Linked DNA regions of Sus scrofa. The protein of the gene in region 4 purifies or fractionates together with the protein of the main gene of each other region. This does not show direct contact. Links are inferred from orthologs where the notes say so. Each region holds a gene or a part of one and is shown on either strand. Other genes may lie near its edges.

What was found.
Region 1: the proteins of MTA2 (region 4) and ZNF512B purify together in Homo sapiens (affinity purification with mass spectrometry; 3 studies listed by BioGRID and IntAct, with this or other methods). This does not show direct contact. The link is inferred for Sus scrofa from reciprocal best matches to the Homo sapiens genes MTA2 and ZNF512B.
Region 2: the proteins of MTA2 (region 4) and CHD3 purify together in Homo sapiens (affinity purification with mass spectrometry; 8 studies listed by BioGRID and IntAct, with this or other methods). This does not show direct contact. The link is inferred for Sus scrofa from reciprocal best matches to the Homo sapiens genes MTA2 and CHD3.
Region 3: the proteins of MTA2 (region 4) and BCL11A purify together in Homo sapiens (affinity purification with mass spectrometry; 4 studies listed by BioGRID and IntAct, with this or other methods). This does not show direct contact. The link is inferred for Sus scrofa from reciprocal best matches to the Homo sapiens genes MTA2 and BCL11A.
Region 5: the proteins of MTA2 (region 4) and DNMT1 purify together in Homo sapiens (affinity purification with western blotting; 3 studies listed by BioGRID and IntAct, with this or other methods). This does not show direct contact. The link is inferred for Sus scrofa from reciprocal best matches to the Homo sapiens genes MTA2 and DNMT1.

The regions. Positions count from the first base shown.
Region 1 is NC_010459.5:62,804,394-62,808,656, reverse strand, and holds the start of ZNF512B (zinc finger protein 512B), read left to right. Parts: upstream 1-1,455; 5' UTR 1,456-1,682; intron 1,683-1,847; exon of another isoform or gene 1,848-2,535; 5' UTR 2,536-2,921; coding exon 2,922-2,985; intron 2,986-3,286; coding exon 3,287-3,412; intron 3,413-3,680; coding exon 3,681-3,823; intron 3,824-4,091; coding exon 4,092-4,220; intron 4,221-4,263. UniProt on the Homo sapiens protein: Involved in transcriptional regulation by repressing gene expression. Associates with the nucleosome remodeling and histone deacetylase (NuRD) complex, which promotes transcriptional repression by histone deacetylation and nucleosome remodeling.
Region 2 is NC_010454.4:53,156,033-53,159,540, forward strand, and holds part of CHD3 (chromodomain-helicase-DNA-binding protein 3), read left to right. Parts: intron 1-157; coding exon 158-243; intron 244-375; coding exon 376-509; intron 510-1,059; coding exon 1,060-1,204; intron 1,205-1,379; coding exon 1,380-1,542; intron 1,543-1,656; coding exon 1,657-1,778; intron 1,779-1,880; coding exon 1,881-2,016; intron 2,017-2,128; coding exon 2,129-2,230; intron 2,231-2,413; coding exon 2,414-2,545; intron 2,546-2,927; coding exon 2,928-3,036; intron 3,037-3,247; coding exon 3,248-3,380; intron 3,381-3,508.
Region 3 is NC_010445.4:81,196,526-81,200,689, reverse strand, and holds the start of BCL11A (B-cell lymphoma/leukemia 11A), read right to left. Parts: upstream 2,805-4,164; 5' UTR 2,756-2,804; coding exon 2,701-2,755; intron 1,246-2,700; exon of another isoform or gene 394-1,245; coding exon of another isoform or gene 345-393; intron 1-344. UniProt on the Homo sapiens protein: Transcription factor. Associated with the BAF SWI/SNF chromatin remodeling complex. Binds to the 5'-TGACCA-3' sequence motif in regulatory regions of target genes, including a distal promoter of the HBG1 hemoglobin subunit gamma-1 gene.
Region 4 is NC_010444.4:9,136,519-9,140,620, forward strand, and holds the start of MTA2 (metastasis-associated protein MTA2), read left to right. Parts: upstream 1-1,299; 5' UTR 1,300-1,887; coding exon 1,888-1,915; intron 1,916-2,063; exon of another isoform or gene 2,064-2,317; intron 2,318-2,643; coding exon 2,644-2,711; intron 2,712-3,122; coding exon 3,123-3,216; intron 3,217-4,102. Other genes in the region: EML3 (echinoderm microtubule-associated protein-like 3), read left to right, coding at 113-211, 476-606, 695-898. UniProt on the Homo sapiens protein: May function as a transcriptional coregulator. Acts as a component of the histone deacetylase NuRD complex which participates in the remodeling of chromatin.
Region 5 is NC_010444.4:69,026,943-69,030,988, reverse strand, and holds the start of DNMT1 (DNA (cytosine-5)-methyltransferase 1), read left to right. Parts: upstream 1-1,239; 5' UTR 1,240-1,255; coding exon 1,256-1,434; intron 1,435-1,571; exon of another isoform or gene 1,572-1,936; coding exon of another isoform or gene 1,937-1,992; intron 1,993-4,046. UniProt on the Homo sapiens protein: Methylates CpG residues. Preferentially methylates hemimethylated DNA. Associates with DNA replication sites in S phase maintaining the methylation pattern in the newly synthesized strand, that is essential for epigenetic inheritance.

The DNA.
Region 1 (4,263 bases), on a different chromosome or scaffold from region 4:
AAGACACCAGGCCCAGTGTACCCCCTACACAACACAGACATCACACCCTGCCCTGACATGCAGACGCACTGTGGCCTGGACACACATTCACCAAGAACCAAACACCCCGCCATACCCTCTGTGCAGTCACCTGGACATGAACATACAACAGGCATCTTTTTCTTCTAGTACAGGACAGAGACGTGCCCTGACACCTCTATGGCCAAACAGGACACTGCTTGACACACATGAGCAGAGGGACACACACCTACCAACAGGTGTGGACACATTCCACGTAGACATGCAGACTTGCACGAGGAAAGCTGGCGAACCTGGGTGCGCCTCAGGCGCACACACCAGCCCCCTGCCTGAAATCCTGCGTCTCGACACCAGGGCAGGCACAGGCTCTGACTTCCAAGGGAAAGACTAACCCCCCTGCAGAGGGCACCCCGCCTCTGCCCCCGTGAGAGGCAACGATCCCTCCCCGTGAGGTGAGGAGGACCCCAAATCTTCCCATGAGCGGTGTAGGAGGAGCTGCTCCGGTGTGGACAGAGCACGTGGGAAGGGCCCCAGGGAAGGAGGTGCACCTCGTGCCTCTGTTTCCCTACTAGCACCCCTTCTCTGCTCGGCTCATTGCCCAGTCCTGGTGAGGCTGGTGCCCCACCCCCACCCCCAGACCCAATACTTCTGGGGCACAAAGGAGCAAGGCACTGGCCGCTGGCCCAGGACCACCCTCCCCCCAAAGTAGACAGAGGCTGCTCCAAAGGGCAGGAATCCCAACAAAGCCCCTGGCCTCTAGCTGCCCAGGCCCTGCCAGGACCCAAGCGAGTTCGTGAGGGTGGCCACAGGCAGACGTGGTCACAGGGCTGGCTGGAAAAGAGGCAGCGCGTGCAGGCTCCTGGGCCCGGTGGCCAGGAGTTCAAGGTCCGGGGAGACCTCGGCCTCCGACGGCCACACCTTCGCAGGGCCAGGTCCTGGAGACACCCCGTCGTCGCTTCAATCCACGCGCGCCGGGAGTGGGGCAGTACCCGGACCCCTGCCGAGCCTCGGCCGACCCCACCGCCTGAACACCGCCTCCCGGCCCGCAGGGGCAGCCCCGGCCCCCTCGCGCCGGCGGCCCGGCGGACGCAGGCGGCCGCCGGCGCGCGGCCGGCCGGATGGGCCCCCTCCCCCGACCCGGCTCCCCGTCGCGGAGCGGCGGCAGGAATACCGCGAGAGTTCGCCCCCTCCCCCCCACAGTAAAACTGTCAAAGGTGGGAGGGGCGGGAGCGCGCATGTGCGCAGCGCGGCGCGCAGCCTGCGCCGCCCGGACCCCGCGCCCCGCGCCCCGGCCCGGCCCGGCCCCGGCCCCGGCCCCCGCCCCCGCCCGGCTCCGGCCCGCTGGGCGCCGCAGGTAAGCGCCCGGCCGCGCCCCCGGCCGCGCCCCCCGGGCAGGCTCGCGTGGGCCGCGCCCCCGACCCTGACCCCGCGCGCAAGTCGAGGATCCGGGCCCTGCGTCCCGTCCCCGCGCGCCCGCCCCCGCCGCGCCCGGACCCCTGCGCCGCGCCCCGCGCCCGGCGTCGGCGCCGCGTCCCTGCCTCCTCCTTCTCCAGAAAAAGTCGCCATTTTGGTTCAGTGCCTTTGGGCACCCCCCCACCCCAAGGCGTCCGCGATCCGCGGCCCTTCCCGGGCCAGGCCGGGCCCGCACCCGCCGCAGGTGACAGGTGGGTGGCGAGGCCAGCCTCCAAGTGTGCGTCCCCAGGTCAGCCTCATCCGTGCGCCCGGGCCTGGGCCGGGGTCCCCGGCTGAGCGGCGTTGGCCGAGGTCCCGCCGCCAGCGTCGCCAGCGGTCAGCGCGTGGCACTCCAACCCCCCTCCCCGCGAGTGTCCCACCTTTGCGACCCTGCTGGGCCCTCCGGGAGGGCGGAAGCCCTTTCTCCTCCTGGTGCGCGAGTCACAGGCCCTGGGTGGAAGGAGGGAGTCTGCCCCCGAGGCCCGCACTCTCCCCGGCCCCCAACTCCGAATCCTCCACCCAGGCTGGGGGAACACTGGAAAGGTGGCTCTCAGCAGCCCCCACTCCTCCTGCCTCTGGGGTCATCGCGGGGCGTGGGTAACTGAGGATGACTGTCTCCTGAGTGTCAGGGGGAGGACTTCCAGAGAAGTTTGCTCAGAGCGCTCTAGACGCACACCTCCCCCAGACCCAGGCTCCAGGCATCCGGACACCAGGCGCAGTAACTGTGCTGACCTCTGACCTCAGTCGGCCAAGCCAGTCTCTGGACCGCCTAGGCACGGCAGCTCCTTCCCTTCCCTTTGGATATAAATTAGTTTGAAACCACCAAGGGAGGGGTACCCTGCGCACACAACCCCCGAACCTGGAGGGGCTCCCCACGTGAGGGGGGCCCCCAGCAGAACAGGCCCACAGAGGCCCGGTCTCGGGCAGCAGGATGTTTCCTGTGGTCTCTGACGTGGTGCTGGTGGACCTGTAGGTTGGTGACAGGGTCTCGGGGGTGGAGGTGATGAGGTCAGCTAGGCGAAGGGTGGCCGAGGAACCCAGCCTGAGGTATCCTTCTGGTTGCAGGGGCCCCAACTGGAAAGAAGGCCAAGAAGAGGATCAGGTGGGAGGGCTCAGCTGGCACAGGGGCCAGAACCAGGAGCTGCAGGGTCCTTGGCTGCCCCCCCCCCAGAGGGTGTGTGTTGCAGCTGGGGAGTGGCCAGGCTTGGCCATCTTCCCTCCGTGTCCTGGGAGAAGGATGCAAGGGCACCCGCCCGGTCCCGTCGCATGGCCTTGGGTCTGGGTGGGGCTGCGGGGGAAGGTGTTCCCAGGTGCCCAGCCAGCACAGCCTGTGAGCCAGCAGCCACACTGGTGTCCTAATTGGCCCCCCGAGGGGTGCCGCTAGCCTCCCTCCTCGGGGCGCCCCCCCCCCCACGTCCTGGGGCCGCCGCCAGCCGAGCACCAGGTAGGAGATGCATGACTCTCCGCACTCTCTGGGATCGTGTGTCTGGAGACAGAGGGAGCCCCCCAGAGCCGGTGAGGGTCTCAGGAGAGGGTCACATTCTTCCAAGCCAATGGGGTCTCCTGGGTTATCTGGCGAGACAGTGAGCCGCCTCCGGGTGGGGCTGTGGGAAAAGGTGTTCCCAGGTGCTCCCCTAAACCAGAAGCCTCCCCCACCCATCACCTGCTTTCCCTTGCAGCCCCAAGCACAGGCGGGCACGCTCCCCTTCCTTGGGCCAGAGAGTGGGCCTGCCTGTGGGTGGGGTTCGAGGGCAGCCCATTTCTCATCCTAAGTTGGGCCTGGTGGGCCTCACCAGTGGGTGCACTTGCTTTGCAGAGATGACCGACCCCTTTTGTGTTGGAGGAGGCCGCCGACTCCCAGGGTCCAGCAAGAGCGGACCTGGGAAGGATGGCGGCCGGAACGAGGTCCGACTTCCCATGCTTCATGACCCACCAAAGCTGGGTAAGAGGAGTCAGCCTAAGGTCCGCTCGCCTGGTCACGTGCAGCCAGTGCTGGGTGCGGGCCTCACTGGGCATCCAGCTCCTGAGTGCCTGCCTGGGCTCCTGAGAGGATTCCCAGGGCAGGGGCAGCCCGGGGCCCTGCATTCTCATCCTAGCCTGACTGCAGGCTCCTGCCCCCCACGCTCGGTATGGGGAAGCTAGCTCACCACCAGGCGTGGCTGGCCCATGGGGAGCATAGCCACCAAGCCTTGGCATGTTGTCTGCTGCAGGGCTGCCAGCGGTCCGAGGTGGGCAGACAATGCCCGGCCAGGCCCCGCTCTGCTTTGACCTGGGAAGTCCAGCCGGTGATAGGACAGAAGGGAAGAAAAAGGGGCGTCCGAAAGCTGAGAACCAGGCCCTCCGAGACATTCCTGTGAGCTCCCCGAGGGCTGGGTGGGGCTCTCGCGGGGTCTGCCTGTGAGCCCATTGCCTTACCGTGCTGGCTGGTGGCTCGTCCAGTGCCACGCCTCAGCCCATGTCCCCAGCCGCTCCGTGCATCGGGGCTTCAGGGTGTTGCCTCAGGCCTAGGGGGCCATGCAGGCGGACCTAGTCCTGCAAGCCCAGGCAAGGCCCTGGGTCGGGCTGGCCGGCAGAGGCCGGGACGGCTGCAGGGTCAGCAGCCTGGCCTTTCCCACGCCCAGCTCTCCCTGATGAACCAGTGGAAGGATGAATTCAAGGCGCACTCGAGGGTGAAGTGTCCAAACTCCGGGTGCTGGCTGGAGTTCCCCAGCATCTACGGGCTCAAGTACCATTACCAGCGGTGCCAGGGGGTAAGGGGCTGTGGGCTGGGGAAGGGGAGGCCTGAGGCCCGCC
Region 2 (3,508 bases), on a different chromosome or scaffold from region 4:
TCACTAGTTCAGCATGCGCAGGGAGGAAAATAGATGTGCCTGGCCCGTGACGCGGGCCTTGCCTGGCTTCCTGCCCTGGGGGAGGGGCGAGCTCGGGAAGACTGGGGGGCGGAGGAGGCGGCACAGCTGCCAACTGGGGTCACTCTCTCTCGTCCAGGGCGTCGACAGTCCAAGAGGCAGCTCCGGAATGAAAAAGACAAGCCGCTGCCTCCACTGCTGGCTCGAGTTGGGGGCAACATTGAGGTGAGAGCGGCGCCCAGCGCCCGACGGTTCCCTGAGGAAGGAGTGAAGGCTGGGGGCTGGGAAATTGAAGCTGAGTCACTGAGGGTGAGAGCCCCGCCGTTCATGGCCCACGCCGTCCTCCCCCTTCCTCAGGTGCTGGGGTTCAACACCCGTCAGCGGAAAGCCTTCCTCAACGCCGTGATGCGCTGGGGCATGCCGCCGCAGGACGCCTTCACCACCCAGTGGCTGGTGCGCGACCTGAGGGGCAAGACGGAGAAGGAGTTCAAGTGAGTGTGGGCGACGCGGGGCCCAGGTAGATGGAAGGGTCAGACTGCGGGTGTTACTGTCTTCGTCCTGGCCACCATGTGATGTGACCTTACTCACCTGATCACTGTGCTCCCCGCCAGACGACCCCAGACGACAGTTCCCGGCTCGGTTTCCTGGGGGGTGGGCCCAGCCTGCCCCACCTCCCCTCAGACGAGCCTAGAGCGCAGAGGCCGGTCTCCCTGCTAGTGGGAGAGGCGGTGAAGACCGCAGCCTCTCCTGGGCTGTCCTGCCTCACATTCCTTTGGCCACGATGGCCGGCGGGGAGCCCGTGGAAAGGATGAAGAGCTGACTGATGGGGCCTAGGAATGAAGTCCCAAGGCCAGGGAGCCTGGAAATGCAGTGGCAGGGGTGGGGGTGGGGGGGAGTTACCTCCTGGAGGGCTGGTCGTGGTGGGATTGAGAGGCCAGGGGAGACTCCTGGCGGCACCCAGGAGGTTCAGTTTCAGGGCTCCGTCATCCCTGTGCCCCCCCAAGGCTCTCCTGACCTGCCTCCCGCCTCCATGCTCCTCAGGGCCTATGTGTCTTTGTTCATGCGCCATCTCTGTGAGCCCGGGGCAGACGGCTCTGAAACCTTTGCGGACGGGGTCCCTCGGGAGGGACTGAGTCGCCAGCAAGTGTTGACCCGCATTGGAGTCATGTCACTCGTCAAGAAGAAGGTATCGGTCTTCCCCTCACCCGCAAGGTCACGTGGGCTGCCTGGCTCTGGCCCCCTCTGCCGCATCCCCTGGTTCAGACTCAGGCTGGGGCGAGACAAGGCAGGAGGGGCTGGAGCCTGTCGTGTCCAGTGCCTGGAGCTGACCCCTGTCCCTCCACCTCCCCTGCACCCTTCAGGTTCAGGAGTTTGAGCACATCAACGGGCGCTGGTCTATGCCGGAGCTGATGCCTGACCCCAGCGCTGACTCCAAGCGCTCCTCCAGAGCCTCCTCTCCTACCAAGACCTCCCCCACCACTCCTGAGGCTTCTGCTGCCAACAGTCCTTGCACCTCGAAACCTGGTAATCAGCTTGGGGTGGCAAGAGAGACAGACAGGGCCAGGGTCCGTTAGACGGGGAGGGATTGGAGTTGGGCTGGGGAGGTTCTGCCTTCTTCACCCTGCCTTACCCCTGCAGCTACTCCAGCTCCAAGTGAGAAAGGAGAGGGCATGAGGACACCTCTGGAGAAGGATGAAGCAGAAAACCAGGAGGAGAAGCCAGAGAAGAATAGCAAAACTGGGGAGAAGATGGAGGCAGAGGTATGGGGCTCCCTGGTTCCCCCGAGAGGAGGGAGTGGTGGCGCCTTGGGGCGGGTGCCTGGGAGCCCTCGGCTTTGTCCTGACTCCCCTGTCCTCTTCTAGGCGGACACTCCCAGCCCAGCCCCGTCACTTGGGGAGCGGCTGGAGCCAAGGAAGGTTCCTCTAGAGGATGAGGGGCCAGGGGGACCTGGAGAGATGGAGCCTGAACCTGGGTACCGGGGGGACAGAGAGAAGTCAGGTGGGTGCATCGCCTTAGGGGTGATGGGGGCTTAGAATATGGGGGTTCCTTCTTCTGGGGTCAGGGGATGAGGGTGACAACCTCCCTTCCTGTCCCCTACCCCCTCCCACAGCCACAGAGTCGACGCCAGGAGAGAGGGGGGAGGAGAAGCCGTTGGATGGACAGGAACAGAGGGAGAGGCCGGAGGGGGAGACAGGGGATTTGGGCAAGAGAGGTAATGGGTGGAAGGACCGGCCACCCGGGTCCCTGAGGGAATCGGGAGGTGGAGTCTGGGGAGCCGAGTGCCGGAGGTCCCGGGTGGGCAGCGATTCCAGGGGCCAGTACAGTACAGAGAGTAGTCCTGGAACCTGGGAGGGAACTGCCTCCTGAGGCGTGAGCTCTGCCCCATTTGCCGTAGCCGAAGACGTGAAAGGGGACCGGGAGCTCCGACCTGGGCCTCCTCGAGACGAGCTGCGGTCCAATGGGCGACGCGAGGAGAAGGTGGAGAAGCCGCGGTTCATGTTCAACATTGCAGACGGTGGCTTCACAGGTGCGGCTTCTCACTGCCCCCTGCTCCTCACCGGTGTTTGCTCATCCTCTCGGGTTTCCCATTTGGCCTGAGGCCTCCTGCTACCTGTAATTGCAAGGAACTGCCGTGAGGTGGTGCGTGCTGTCTCTGAGCCTCGCCCTTGGGCCTCTTTAAGTGTACGCTCAACTCCAAAGCTGCCTTTCACCCCACCTGTGTCCTTCATCCTAGCTTGAACCTGCTTGTAACTAGTCTGCTTCCCAGCTCCTCACCTGACCTTGCCTTGTTCTCCTTAAAGAGCCCTTCGTCCTCTCCCACCATTCAGTTCCCTCCTCTGTACCTGTCTGCTGGGCTGGATGTGGGTCGCAAATGCTGACGCCTCATCCATCTTCTGTCCTCTCTTTAGAGCTTCACACACTGTGGCAGAATGAGGAACGGGCAGCTATTTCCTCGGGGAAACTCAATGAGATCTGGCACCGAAGACATGACTATTGGCTTCTGGCTGGGATTGTCCTGTATCCTTTGATACAAATGCAAGGAAAAACCTGTTCTCTCAACCTGGGGAGAGGGGCACTACAGAGAATGCAAGTCCACGCAAGACACTGGGGCTTAGTGCCACACGGGGGCTTAGTGCCACACGGGGAGCGGTCAGGCCAAAGGAGGGCGTGTGCACAGCCTAGCCTGTCCCTGTTAAATGCCTTGATGGTCCCCCCGTTTCATCGGCAGCCATGGCTACGCACGGTGGCAGGACATCCAGAACGATGCTCAGTTTGCCATTATCAACGAGCCATTTAAAACTGAAGCTAATAAGGGGAACTTTCTGGAGATGAAAAATAAGTTCCTGGCCCGGAGATTCAAGGTAGGGACGAGGGAAGAAAGGCACAGTGCCGAAGAGGGACTTGGGTCAGAAGCGGGACCAGATCTAGTTGGAGGGGAGGCCCTGCTGACACCGTGAGGGTTGAGGCAATGCTTGAGGCCGGACTAGAG
Region 3 (4,164 bases), on a different chromosome or scaffold from region 4:
GGCTCATACAGCCCTAGGAGCGGAGGACAGGGGGGAAGAAGGGGGTCCTGAGGATCGGAATGGCTCCCGCCTCCTCTACGCACCCAGAAAATTAGAAAGGAGCGACCCCTGCACCCTCTTCAAACTGGTCCGTTAACCAAAGCCTGCCCTGAAACACGAGGAGAGAGGGGCCAACCCAACCCGCCTGGAGTGGCCCAGAATGGACCCGGGATGAAAGGGGGAAGGGAGGGGGGCAGCCCAGACTGCACGCCTCAGTCCGTCCTTTGAACCCCTAATGCATCCTTCCGAAGAAGGGCCCGGCTTTCCCGAGTGCTGCGAACACTGCCCTTCCTTCCCGCCGGTACCTGGCCGGGCTGTAACTTCACACCGCCGCGCGCCGCGTCTGCTCCGCATCCGGCGCGGCTGGGCGAGTGGGGGGCGGGGGAGAGCGGCGAGGGAGGGATGCGCGGGGGTGGGGAGAGGGAGGGCCCGCAACGTGCCCGGGCGGGGGAGCTTTCGAAGTATGTGACAAGTTCCAGGGCCCAGTGAAAAACTCAATTCCCTATGCGCAACCCCCCCCCCCAGACACACACCCCTTTTAAAAAAATACAGAGCTAGGTATAGGGTGGTCCTTTAAAATTGCAGCAAAAATTAAATTAAGGGTCAAGAATGAGGAGGGGAAGGGAAGTGGGCCCTCACGCCTTTCTTTCTCTTGCAGCCAAACTTTCCTAAGTATCCATCGCCTGCCTTTCCAGGCGCATTCTGTTAAGCCAGGAGACTGCTACCCACTCACCCACCCCAACCCCTCTTATACAGATTCACAAGGAAACACCACCACCCCCGCCCCCGCGTTCAAGTCTAGGTCCGAGGTAGAGAGCAAGAACCTAAGGGTGGGGTGCGTAGGGTCCTGGGGTCGAACACTCCCAAAATGCCCATTCCAACATACTACTCCTTTACCCCACCCCCACCCCCACTTGGCTTCGACGCTCTCAGGACCCGGGGGCTGGTGCCCAGTGCGGGTGGGAGGGGGGCCGGGAAAGCACGTGGTGACCTCCTCGCCGCCCAGAGCTGGAGGCAAGAGACGTCGGGGGTAGGGAGCGGACAGAACTAGCTTTTTCGGTTGCTTTGCTAAATAAAAATGCTTTGCAAAGCCGAGTTTCTCCCCAGACGATTTCGCAGCAGGGTTGGCCGGGAGGAGGTCTAGGCATTGTGCTGGGGCTCCAGGGTGGACCCTGAACCCGGCAGGCTCGGAGTTGCAGCACAGCCTTCCGCTGTGCAGGCGGACAGGCGGGCGAGCAAGCGGGCGGGCGGCGGGCGCTGGGTGGGCGATCCCGGGCGGGGCGGGGGCGCGGCGAGGCCCGGCAAGGCCCGGGCGAGGCCCGGCCACAGCCGCCGCCCGCTCCCGGGCTGCCGCGCAGTGCTCGGTCCTCTCTGTCTGTTTGTTGGCAGGAGACTCCCGCACACGCGGTGCTTGTAAACATTCAGACACGAGATTTTTCCCAATCAAAATCCACTTCCACTTTTTTTGAAAATCTTCCAAAAAATAGTAAGAGGAGGGAGTTCCTCGCTCCCTCTCCGTGCCGCCGGCGCTCTAAGTTTTCAACTAAAGGGGTTTTGAGGAGGGAGGGGTGGTAATTGTGTTTTTCCCCTCAATTAGAGAATGTGATATTTTTGCGGGGGGGGGGGCGAATCTAAGAGGAGAGCGTTGCAGAAAACGGCCGGCGGAGCGTTTTGCGTCAGTTGGAGGGCAAGAAATTTCACATTCTCTTGACCTGTTTTATTTATTTTGTTTTGTTTTGTTTTGTTTTGTTTTACACGTCTTCTCGCCGCCACTGAGGTTCGGCCGGGAGGAGCGGGCAGCAGCAACCCGGGAGGCGGTGATCGGGGTGCCCTCCCTCCCTCTCCCGCTCGCCCCCGGCCCTTGCTCCTGCCCTTCGGCGGCAGCGGCGGCGGCGCGGGAGGGCAAGCGCAAGGAGCCGGCACAAAAGGCAGCGGGACAAACACCCACCTCCGACCGGAACAAAAGGCAGCAGCGCCGGCCGCTTCTCCGGTCCTTCCCTGTCGCCCTCTCCCTACAGCCTCAGCCCCATTCCAGACTCGGCCGACTCCGGAGCGCCGGGGGCCCCCCTCCCACAATCCCACTTTCTCACTATTGTAGAGATGACTACTTTCCTCCGGTGCACGCTTTACCGTGAGAGCCCCGGTGTCCGAGGGCCAGTCTCACCTCTTTCCTCCCTAGGAATTGTTTTTTTAAGACTTGGGTCCCCACCCCCCGTTTTCCTTTCTACGGTGAGTGGAAGTAACCCCCCTTTTCCCCTCCGGTTCCCTCCCTTAGGTTTACACGAGAGTTGTTAGCATCCACAGCATTGTTCATTATTTTGCAAAATTGGAGGGGAAATCATTGCATTCCTTTTCGAAAAGCGAAATAAAGCAGCGGAAAGCAGGAAAGAGGAGGAGTCTTTTTTAATTTTTGTAAAATTAAATAAAATTGAAAGGTTCGTGCCACCCCAAAAGTATACATACGGCTATGTTTCGGGATGGGATGAGGTTGGTTTTCTGCCCCCCCCCAATCTCTTTTATCCCGACTCTCGGAGGTTTTTCTCGTGAAAAAAAAAAATTTAAATGCATGCACACACCCCTTTCTCCCCCTCTCTCTTGCTTCTCGTCCTGCGCGCTCTCGTGATTATTAATAATTATTATTACTATTATTGGGTTACTTACGCGAGAATTCCCGTTTGCTTAAGTGCTGGGGTTTGCCTTGCTTGCGGCGAGACATGGTGGGCTGCGGGGCGGGCGGCGGCGGCGGCGGCGGCGGCGGGCGGACGACGGCTCGGTTCACATCGGGAGAGCCGGGTTAGAAAGAAGGAGACTCCAGAGAAAATATCTTCATCAGTGCCTTTTGACATCCAAAATAAATTAGAAATAATACAAAGATGGCGCAGGGAAGATGAATTGTGGGAGAGCCGTCATGGCTTTTTTTTTTTTAAGCAAAAAAAAAAAAGAGAGAGAGAGAGAGAGAGAGCAGAGATAGAGGGAGAGAGAGAGAGAGAGAGAGAGAGATGAAAAAAATGGCAAAAGCCCCCCTGAGCTGCAAGTTCAAGTGCGGACGTGACGTCCCTGCGAACTTGAACGTCAGGAGTCTGGATGGACAGAGACACACAAAACATGGGCAGGGCGAGCAGGAGAGAAGGGGAGGAGGGAAGGGGAAGCTCACACCAATGGACACACATCAGGGGCTGGACATGAAAAAGAGACCAGGACAAGCCAATGGCCAGTGCGGGGCGGGGGAGGTGCGGGGCGGGGGGCTCCGCAGACGCCAGACGCGGCCCCCGGGGGAGGGGCGGGCGGAGGGGAGGGGGCTCTGGGGCCGCGGGCTCACCAGTGGCCGCAGCGAGCGCCGAGGCGGCGGCGTGGCCGGGAGAGAAGAAAGGGGCGGCGGGGCGGGGGGGGAGCAAGACGTACGCCCTGCTCCCCCCCGCACGCGGAACCTAAAATGAAAGATTATTTAAAATTAAAAAAATAAAAAAGCCAGAGTGTACGGGGAAGCTGCTGGGGCCGGGGAAGCGCGGGCGGAGGGAAGCCAGGTAGAGTTGTTCCCGGACACCCTCCTGCGTGCGCACACCCACTTCCCCTCTCCGCCGCAGCCGCAGCTGCGCTCGTGCCCCGCGTGGGGACGCCGGGGACCGAAGTAAAAGCTCTGAGCCCGCGGCTGCACTCTAGAAACTTTGCCGGAGAAGAGGATAGCAAAGAAAAACCACCCGAAGTTGAGAGCAGAGCCTCCAAGTTACAGCTCCGCTGCGGACGAGGGGAGGCGGGAGGGAGCGCGCGGCGAAGCAGAGTCCAGCTCAAGTTTGGAGGGTTGCGGGTCCGAAAGGACAGCGCCAGGGGCTCCGAGAGACAGGCGGCCTGGAGAGTCGGGGGAGGGCGGGGAAGGCGGTGCAGGCCGGGCCGGAGGGCCGGGAGGGCATCCCTCAGGCTAAGCCGGGGGTTGGGCCGGGGGGTGGGGGCTGCGGGGGAGACTCTCAACGCCTCGACAAGCTATCGGGTCTGAATGCAACTGGGAGCTGCGAGTCGAGGTTCTGAACGGATCGTGGAAAGAGAGACTGAGGAATAAAGAGCTGGAAGCCAAACTCCGGGCATGTTCCAGCCCCCGGAGTGGAGCGACCGGACCCAGGGCGAGGGAGG
Region 4 (4,102 bases):
ATGGGGACCAGATCACATGCCAGTGCCTCAAGTATTTCCAACTTGGCCTTCTATGGCATCTTCCAGCTGAGGGCAGGGTGAGACCTGATCTGGGTGGGCTCCCTCTCCCCAGGGGACGTGGCTGGAGGCTGTAAGCTGCTGAGGAATCGCTATGACAGCCGAGACCGGGAGTGGGCCACCTACACCTGCGTGCTGGGCTTTCATGTCTATGGTGAGCAGGGACGCAGGGCCCCAGAACTATGCCTCGAGAGTCGGGGGACAAGGTGCAGACTGCCCGGGGCTCGGAATGCTGGGCATGTGTGGAGGGATGGGCAGATCCAGCCCTGGGGGGCCCCTCCAGCAGGCCCTTGGGACCGGGAAAGATTGCCTGGAACGCGGCTGGTGGGTGGCGGGACTGACTGAGCGCTGGAATTGGTGCAGCTCTGGGCTGTGGGTGGTGGCGGGGAGGCAGGGCTAAGGCCGACGGCTGTGCTAGGCGTGTGGCCGGATGGCTCTGATGGAACCGACATCAACTCCCTGTGCCGTTCCCACAATGAGCGCGTGGTGGCTGTGGCCGACGACTTCTGCAAAGTGCACCTCTTCCAGTACCCGTGCGCGCGCGCCAAGGTGAGAGGCCTCCCAGGGCCTCCGGGGACGGCAGGTCAGGGCCCTGGGGCTCCACGGCCGCTGCAGCTCGACCTTCCCTCCTGCCCAGGCGCCGAGCCTCGTGTACGGCGGTCACGGCAGCCACGTGACCAGCGTCCGGTTCACGTACGACGACTCGCACCTCGTCTCGCTGGGCGGCAAGGACGCCAGCATCTTCCAGTGGCGAGTGCTGGGCGCTGGGAGCGCGGGGCAGGCGCCTGCCACGCCCTCTCGAACTCCCTCGCTGTCCCCCGCCTCCTCTCTCGACGTCTGACCGCTGCCCGACGGGACCCACCGGCCCTGCAGCGTGGCCCCGCCCCGCCCAAGTTTCCCAGGACCCGGGCCGACCCAGTCCTAGACTTCGAGACATTCCCGAAAGCTCATTTCCCTGCAGGGGGCGAACGGCACCCCTGCACACACTGTAAAGACCCGCTGGCTGAGCCGGGCAGCCCCAGCCTGGGCCCTGACTCCCGCTACCTGCTGAGGGGCAATAAACCAAAAGCAAAGTCGCCTCCCGGTCCTTTTGTCGGGCGCGGCTGGGCGCCTCGGGGCTCTGTGGGGTGGGGTGAAGGAAAAGGGGAATGCGGAAAGGGTGAGGGAGAGTAGACCTTTCATGCAAATAACAGGCAAAGCCGCTTGCAAATAACCCCGCGGAGTGCGGAGGCGCTACGAGTCTTTCGCCGCCGCGGGACTCGGGCGAGGAGAGAGTTAAGCCCAACTCCTCTCTCGCCCTCGGAGGCGGGGCCGAGCCGCAACGGAAATAACCGAGCGCCGGGACGCGATTGGCCGGAGGGAGCCGAACTTCTTCCGGAAGTAGCCGAGCTTTGAGGTCTCGCTCTCCGACCGGACCCGAGCGCTGGGCCTTGTTCTCCGGATCCGCCGAAGGTGTTCCGGAAGGAGGCGAACCCCGAGGCGGGCAGGGCAAGCCTTCGCGGCGGCCCGCAAAGTCCAACGTCTAGTGGGGCTCGGCGAGGGCGGGAGAGCTGGAGCCTGGCCCGGTCCGGCGGGAGCCGAGCTCGTTCCGGAAGAAGCCGAGCGGACCGGCTACGGCCTCGGCGTCCCGGGCGTGAGGCGATAGAGGCGGTGGCGACAGCGCGGGCCGGGATGAACCGCGACGGCTGAGGTGGCGGAGGTGCCGGCTGCGCGAGCCAGACAGAGACTTCTGCGAAGCGCCAGCCCCACGCTCAGGGCTTCGCTTCGAGCCCTGCCCCCGCGAGCCTCCCGGACCCCTTTGTGCGGCCGGAGGCGGCGGCGGGAACGGCCATGGCGGCCAACATGTACCGAGTGGGGGGTAAGTACCGGGCGTAGGGGCTGCGGGGCCCGGGGCGAGAGAGGTCGGGGGCCGGGACCGGAGAGGCTTGGCGCCCGGCGGCACGGGGAGTCGCGTCTGGGGCGGCGTGGTCCGGAGCGCGGACCGGAACCGGAACCGGTCGCACGGGGAGCGAGGGCGCGGGGACCGCGACGCGGCGGGTCACCGAGACTGCCGGAGAGACTTCGGGCGGCCCGACGGCACTCGCAGGGCTGCGCCTGGCGCCGCCGGGGTCGCGGGGTGGGCTTGGGAAAGTGGTTCCGAAGGAGCTGACAGGGCAGGCTAGGGGGCGCGAAGGGCCGGGGCGACCGCTTTGCCATCTGCGGGGGAGCAGCCGGGAGGCTTCCTCTCCCCAGGCGTTATTGTGCGCCTGGGTTCGCAAAGGTGGGGGCCCTGCGCTGGAGTGAACAATTGTTCGCTTGGCCGACACCGGGTGCAACTCCATCGCTGAGTTGCGGCGCCTGCTGGGGAACCCCCTGCTTCTGGGCTCCTCCTTAAGGCTCACTTTTGGGTGGTTAGGGGTGGCGGGTGGGGCACCCCTCCCTTACGTTCTGTTAGTCTCTCCACTTCCACATTTCAGCGACTTCTCTGCCTAGACCCTTTTCTCCTTTGGGTCCACTCAGGCCTCCTTTTCGTTCCTCCTACTCTCGTGCTCGGCTCTCCCATCCGCTCCTCTGATCTTCCCGGTTCTTCCCCACCCCCTCCTACAGATTACGTCTATTTTGAGAACTCCTCCAGCAATCCTTACCTGGTGAGAAGGATTGAAGAGCTCAACAAGGTGAGTGGAGCAGAGTCTTCTGGGCTCCCCCCCCCCCCCCCCCCCCCCCCGCCCAGTCCCTCCCCTGGTCTCTAACTTCAGGTGAATGAGAGAGGGAGGGAAAGAGGAAGAGAGCAGGAGAACATGAAGCCTGTTCTAAGTATTCATTCATATTCATTCATTCATTTGTTCATCCCATGCATTCAGGAAAGGCTCTTGACACCTTAGAGGATCTTGACTGTTCTATAAAGGGATTTGGAAGTCTGTCCTTAAATGCAAACGTCTTGATTCATAATTTCTTGGGTTTTTCTTATATCCTTCAGAAACCTGTTTGATGTTGTTAGTCTTGTCTTTCTGCAGTTCTACTTTCAAATGACTAGTTTTCACAGTGTTTTTTTTTTTTATTTTGTTTTGTTTTCTCTCTCTCCTTAGACGGCAAATGGAAATGTGGAGGCAAAGGTTGTGTGCCTTTTCCGGCGAAGGGACATTTCTGGTAGCCTCAACAGCCTGGCTGATAGTAATGCCAGTGAGTGTCTTTGTACCCCCGTCTCCCCCTGCCCATGATCTGAAACCTGGGCATGTCCGTGCAGGTGTTTCTCTTGGTATCATGCTCAAGGCAGGGGTGTGAGTTTGGGGGTGGGAAATGCCTGGTCTGCAGAGGGAGGCCTGTTTTTACACGTTGGGTTGGAAGCAGTGTGGAGAAACCATGACATGAAAAGTGAGAATTTGGCTGGTGTGTATTTGTGTGTGTGTTTGTGTGAGTGGGGTATGTAAAAGAGGTGGTAATGTTTAAAAGGGGGATGGAGAAGAGCTCTAATTTGGAGAAGCAACACTCTTGGGGACAGTTTTGGTTGTGTTGGGACAATGGGTGGTGACTGCGAAGGTCAAGGTGAACAGGAAGAGATTGTACTTAAAAGCTTGCATAACAGGGAAGTAGAGGGTTTTGTGATCAAGGGGGTAAGGCTATATTGATGGGAGAGAATAGGAAGCCCAGAAGGTTTTTTTTTAAGAACTTTTTCTCACCCATCCTGGCCTCTCTTCTCCATTTTACATCTTTCGTTTTTTTTTTTTTTTTTTTTTTTTTGGCCCTATCCGCTTTCTCTTTACGCTTTTGTTTTTTCTTGTTAAATTCATGTCTTTCAATTCCCCTTAGTTTTTTTTTTCCTTTCCTGTTTTGGCTTTCTTTCCCCTTTCTCTTATTCTTCCTTTCTAAATCATTTTGCTTACTTTTGGCGGCTTTGGGTGTTGGGCATGAAAGGGTTAATGAGCTGAGCCTACCAAGTTCTCCGGCCCTCTGGGGTTTCCAGTCCCATCTGGCAGGGGCTGACCTTGGCCTTGTCCAATCAGAAAGGGTGTGGGGGGTGTGGTCCCCCTTGCCTTCGCACAGGGTTTCCGGAGTGCTCAGAAGAGGG
Region 5 (4,046 bases), about 60 Mb from region 4:
TTTACAGTGTTAATTTATGCTGTACAGGAAAGTGATTTCAGGTATATATTATACTTTCTTTTTTTTTTTTTTTTTTTTTTTTTTTTTTTTGCCTTTTTGCCTTTTTGCCTTTTTGCCTTTTCTAGGGCTGCTCCCGCGGCATATGGAGGTTCCCAGGTTAGGAGTCTAATCAGAGCTGTAACCACCGGCCTATGCCAGAACCACAGCGATGCAGGATCCAAGCCGCATCTGTGACCTACACCACAGTTCACGGCAATGCCGGATCCTTAACCCACGGAGCAAGGCCAGGGATCAAACCCGAAACCTCATGGTTCCTAGTCGGATTCGTTAACCACTGAGCCACGACAGGAACTCCTTTTTTTTTTTTTTTCTTCTTAAACCAAGGCTGCAGCATGTGTAACTTCCTGGGCCAGGGACCTGGGCACTGCAGTGGCAAAGCCAGATCCTTAACCTGCTGCACCACAAAGAAACTCCTATACATTCTTGTTTTCCATTCTTTGCCATTAGGGTTTATCACAGGATGTTGAATATAGTTCCCTGTACTATAGACTAAGACCTTGTTTATCCACAGGTAGCAGTTTGCATCTGCTGACCTCAAACTCCCATTGAGTTAACTGTTTTACCTAAGGTGTAAGTTAAGGGTCCAATTTTATTCTCTTGCATGTAGATATCTGATTTGCTTAGCACTACTTTTTTAAATGGCGGCACCAGCTGAACCTGTGCCTCCACCAGACACTGGAGCCGCTGTAGTGGGAACTCCCTCTCAGCACCATTTGTTGAAGAGACTATCCGTTTTAAGCACCCTGGGCTGTGGCAGTGGCCCAAATTTCCCTGCCCTGTGGGATCTTTGGTGCCAGCTATTTTGTGCATCCTCAATATTTTCTGGAGTGTTATTAGAGCCTTTTCACAGACATAAGGAAACTAGGGCTGGATCCAAATGACCTGCCCAAGGTTGTTATCGTGAGCAAATAGGTGTAGGTTGGAACTGAGTAATTGAACTCTAGAGCCCACACACGGAAATCCCATGGGGATACTCCTCATTTTATCCCTAGCTTGTGGGAAAGAATGAATGAATGTCTCAGGCAAGGCTCCCAGCAAACAGAAGCTTGGACCAGCCCACTTCTCCGCGCGGGGGTGCGCGCCCGCCTCGCGCATGCGCAGCCCCTGCGCACAACCAGCTCCACTGAGTCGGCCCGCACGTGGTACGGCCTCTCTCAGTGTGGTACGTCCCGCCTTCCCCCACGCCTGGGCCGGGATGGTACGCGCTGCCTCCGCTCGCCGCCCCTCCCCATCGGTTTCCGCGCGAAAAGCCAGGGCTGCCTGTGCTGCTGCTGTCTCTGCTGCACCTTCCAAGATGCCTGCCCGTACCGCCCCAGCGCGGGTGGCCGCTTTGGCCTCCCGGGCGTTCTCACTGCCTGACGATGTCCGCAGGCGGTAGGTGCCGCGGGGGACTGCGAACGTGGGAGGGTGGCAAGGCGGTGGGGGTGGGGGAGTTGCTTCCCCTCGGGGTAGCCCGTGGCCGCTGACAGACGGGCGCGCATGCGTGGGATGGCGCGGCGCGCGGCGGCAGTTGGCGCGGGCAGGGTGGCACTTCCGGTCGCGCGCGCCCTTGGCCGTTTGGCGCCAAAATGGGCCGAGGCCCCTCACGGCTCCCTGATGACTAGGAATTTGGGGTCTCTTCTGATCTCAAAGTAGACCAAGCTTTGGGTTTGCCGTGGGGAACCCCCTTTCCTGAGTAGCCACGGGCCCGGCCCCTGCCGCCAGCCTGGTCGCGCAGGAAGTGGGCAACCCGCGGCCTCAGGATACCCCTCAGGCCCAGCACTTCGGCCTCCACTTCCGGTGCCCGGTCTGCTGGGGGGTGGGGGTGGTCGGGCCATCCAGGTCCCTGGGGGCATTTGGGGGGGCCCCCCTCAGCGCCCCTACACTACGCATCCTGATGGCAGCCTCCAGAGACCGACGTCGCCGGTTGGGTCCCGGGCGCGGCCGGCTCAGGTTTGCGAGCCCTGTCTTCCCCGGGGGGCTCCCTCCATCACCCCACACAGTTAGGGAAGTAGCATCCTAGAAGGAATTCTGACCATGCAGTGAGAGTCGGGCTTGGGCAGAGTGAAAGCGGAGTGGTTTCTGCTAGTAAATCTGTGCCTGTGAGCTGTGGGCAATAAGGAAGCCTTGCCAGGGAGAACCGACCAGTTTCGTGTGTGTAGGGGGAGTGAGACGGCAACACTTAATATATGGACCCTGCTACAGCTATTCGGTGCACATGGATGGGCCGAAAGACCGTTGAGCCCCGGCTTCATGTTCCTGAAGGGCATCAATTTCACTCCTGAAACTTGCAGATCTCACTTGGAGCCCTAGTCTCAGGATCCTTGACCAGCCCCAAACACTTCCCAACCAGATTTGTGAAACCTGATTTTGCCATTCCCACCCCCATCCCGTGCTTGTTTCCCATAGTTGTGCCAGGCCAGTTCTGATTTGGGCTTTGGGGGTGGGAAGAGTAGGTGTTGGGAGAATTTGGCTCTCCCTTTCAAGTGTCAGGCCACTTCTTGATGTGTTTGTGGGAGAAGGTGAGCGCCACGTCTTACTCTCCGCCATCTTTTTTTCTTTCTTTTTGCCTTTTCTAGGGCTGCACTCTCAGCATATGGAGGTTCCCAGGCTAGGGGTCTAATCAGAGCTGTTGCTGCTGGCCTGTGCCAGAGCCACAGCAATGTGGGAACCGAGCCACGTCTGTGACCTACACCACAGTTCATGGCAACGCCAGATCCTTAACCCACTGAGCAAGGCTAGGGATCAAACCCGCAACCTCATGGTTCCTAGTCGGGTTCATTAACCACTGAGCCACGATGGGAACGCCTCCTCTGCCATCTTGATCCTTTCCCCAGACCACCTCTTAACCACAGTTAGAGGGTGGTTCTTTTTTTTTTTTTGTCTTTTTAGGGCCACACCCAAGGCATAGGGAAGTTCCCAGGCTAGGAGTTGAAGGTTCCCAGGCTAGGGGTTGAATCGGAGCTGCAGCCACCGGCCTATGCCAGAGCCACAGCAACGCTGGATCCGAGCCGCGTCTGTAACCTACACCACAGCTCACGGCAACGCCGGATCGTTAACCCACCGAGCAAGGGCAGGGACCGAACCCGCAACCTCTCGGTTCCTAGTCGGATTCGTTAACCACTGTGCCACGACGGGAACTCCTAACATGGGCTTTAAAGTGGTGCTGGATTAAATGACAATCTGCCCTGGCACATGAAGCCCTTCATGTTAGCACTGTTAATTGACTAATCTGGTTTTTCCCAGTTCTGCTAATTGTATAAAACATTTTATATTATCTCACTTAATCCTTAAGTGTTCTCTAGAGTGGTTGCCATAGGAGCTCACTGTGAGGAAACAAGGATTCCCACTGAGGTCTGCTTCTTGTCAAAACCTTTCCCTTCAGCTATGGCTTTTATTGGGCAAGAGAAGTATTGTGTTTGGCTGAATTTGAATGTTTTTAGGCGAGTGTTACAATCCACCATTCACCCTAGGTTGCATATTGCTTTGAACTAGAATTGCGTATTTTAGGTATGGAGTTTTGGGTTTCTGCCTCAGAGCATTGACATTGTCAGCTTATGTGACCCTCTCAACAGCTTAAAATTTTGAATTTCAGTGTACCAAACATACACATAAACATAGCATTCATTATTCCCTTAAATCACTTCCTTAGTGGAGTTCCCATTGTGGCTCAATGGGTTAAGGATCCTGTGAGGATGTGGGTTCCATCCCTGGCCTTGCTCAGTGGGTTAAGGATCCTGCGTTATTGTAAGCTGTGGCCTTGGTCAAAGATGTGGCTCGGATCCCATGTTGTGGTAGCTGTGGCATAGGCCACAGCTGCAGCTCCGATTCAGCCCCTCGCCCAGGAACTTCCATATGCCGCAGGTGCAGCCATAAAAAGGGAAAAATTCCCTTATCTCCTTGTTAATGAAGGTGTAACTCTTCTCAACTGATGGAGTTTCCTGTGGCCTAGCAGTTAAGGATCCACCCTGGTCACTGCTGTGGCTCAGGTTGGATCCCTGCCTGGG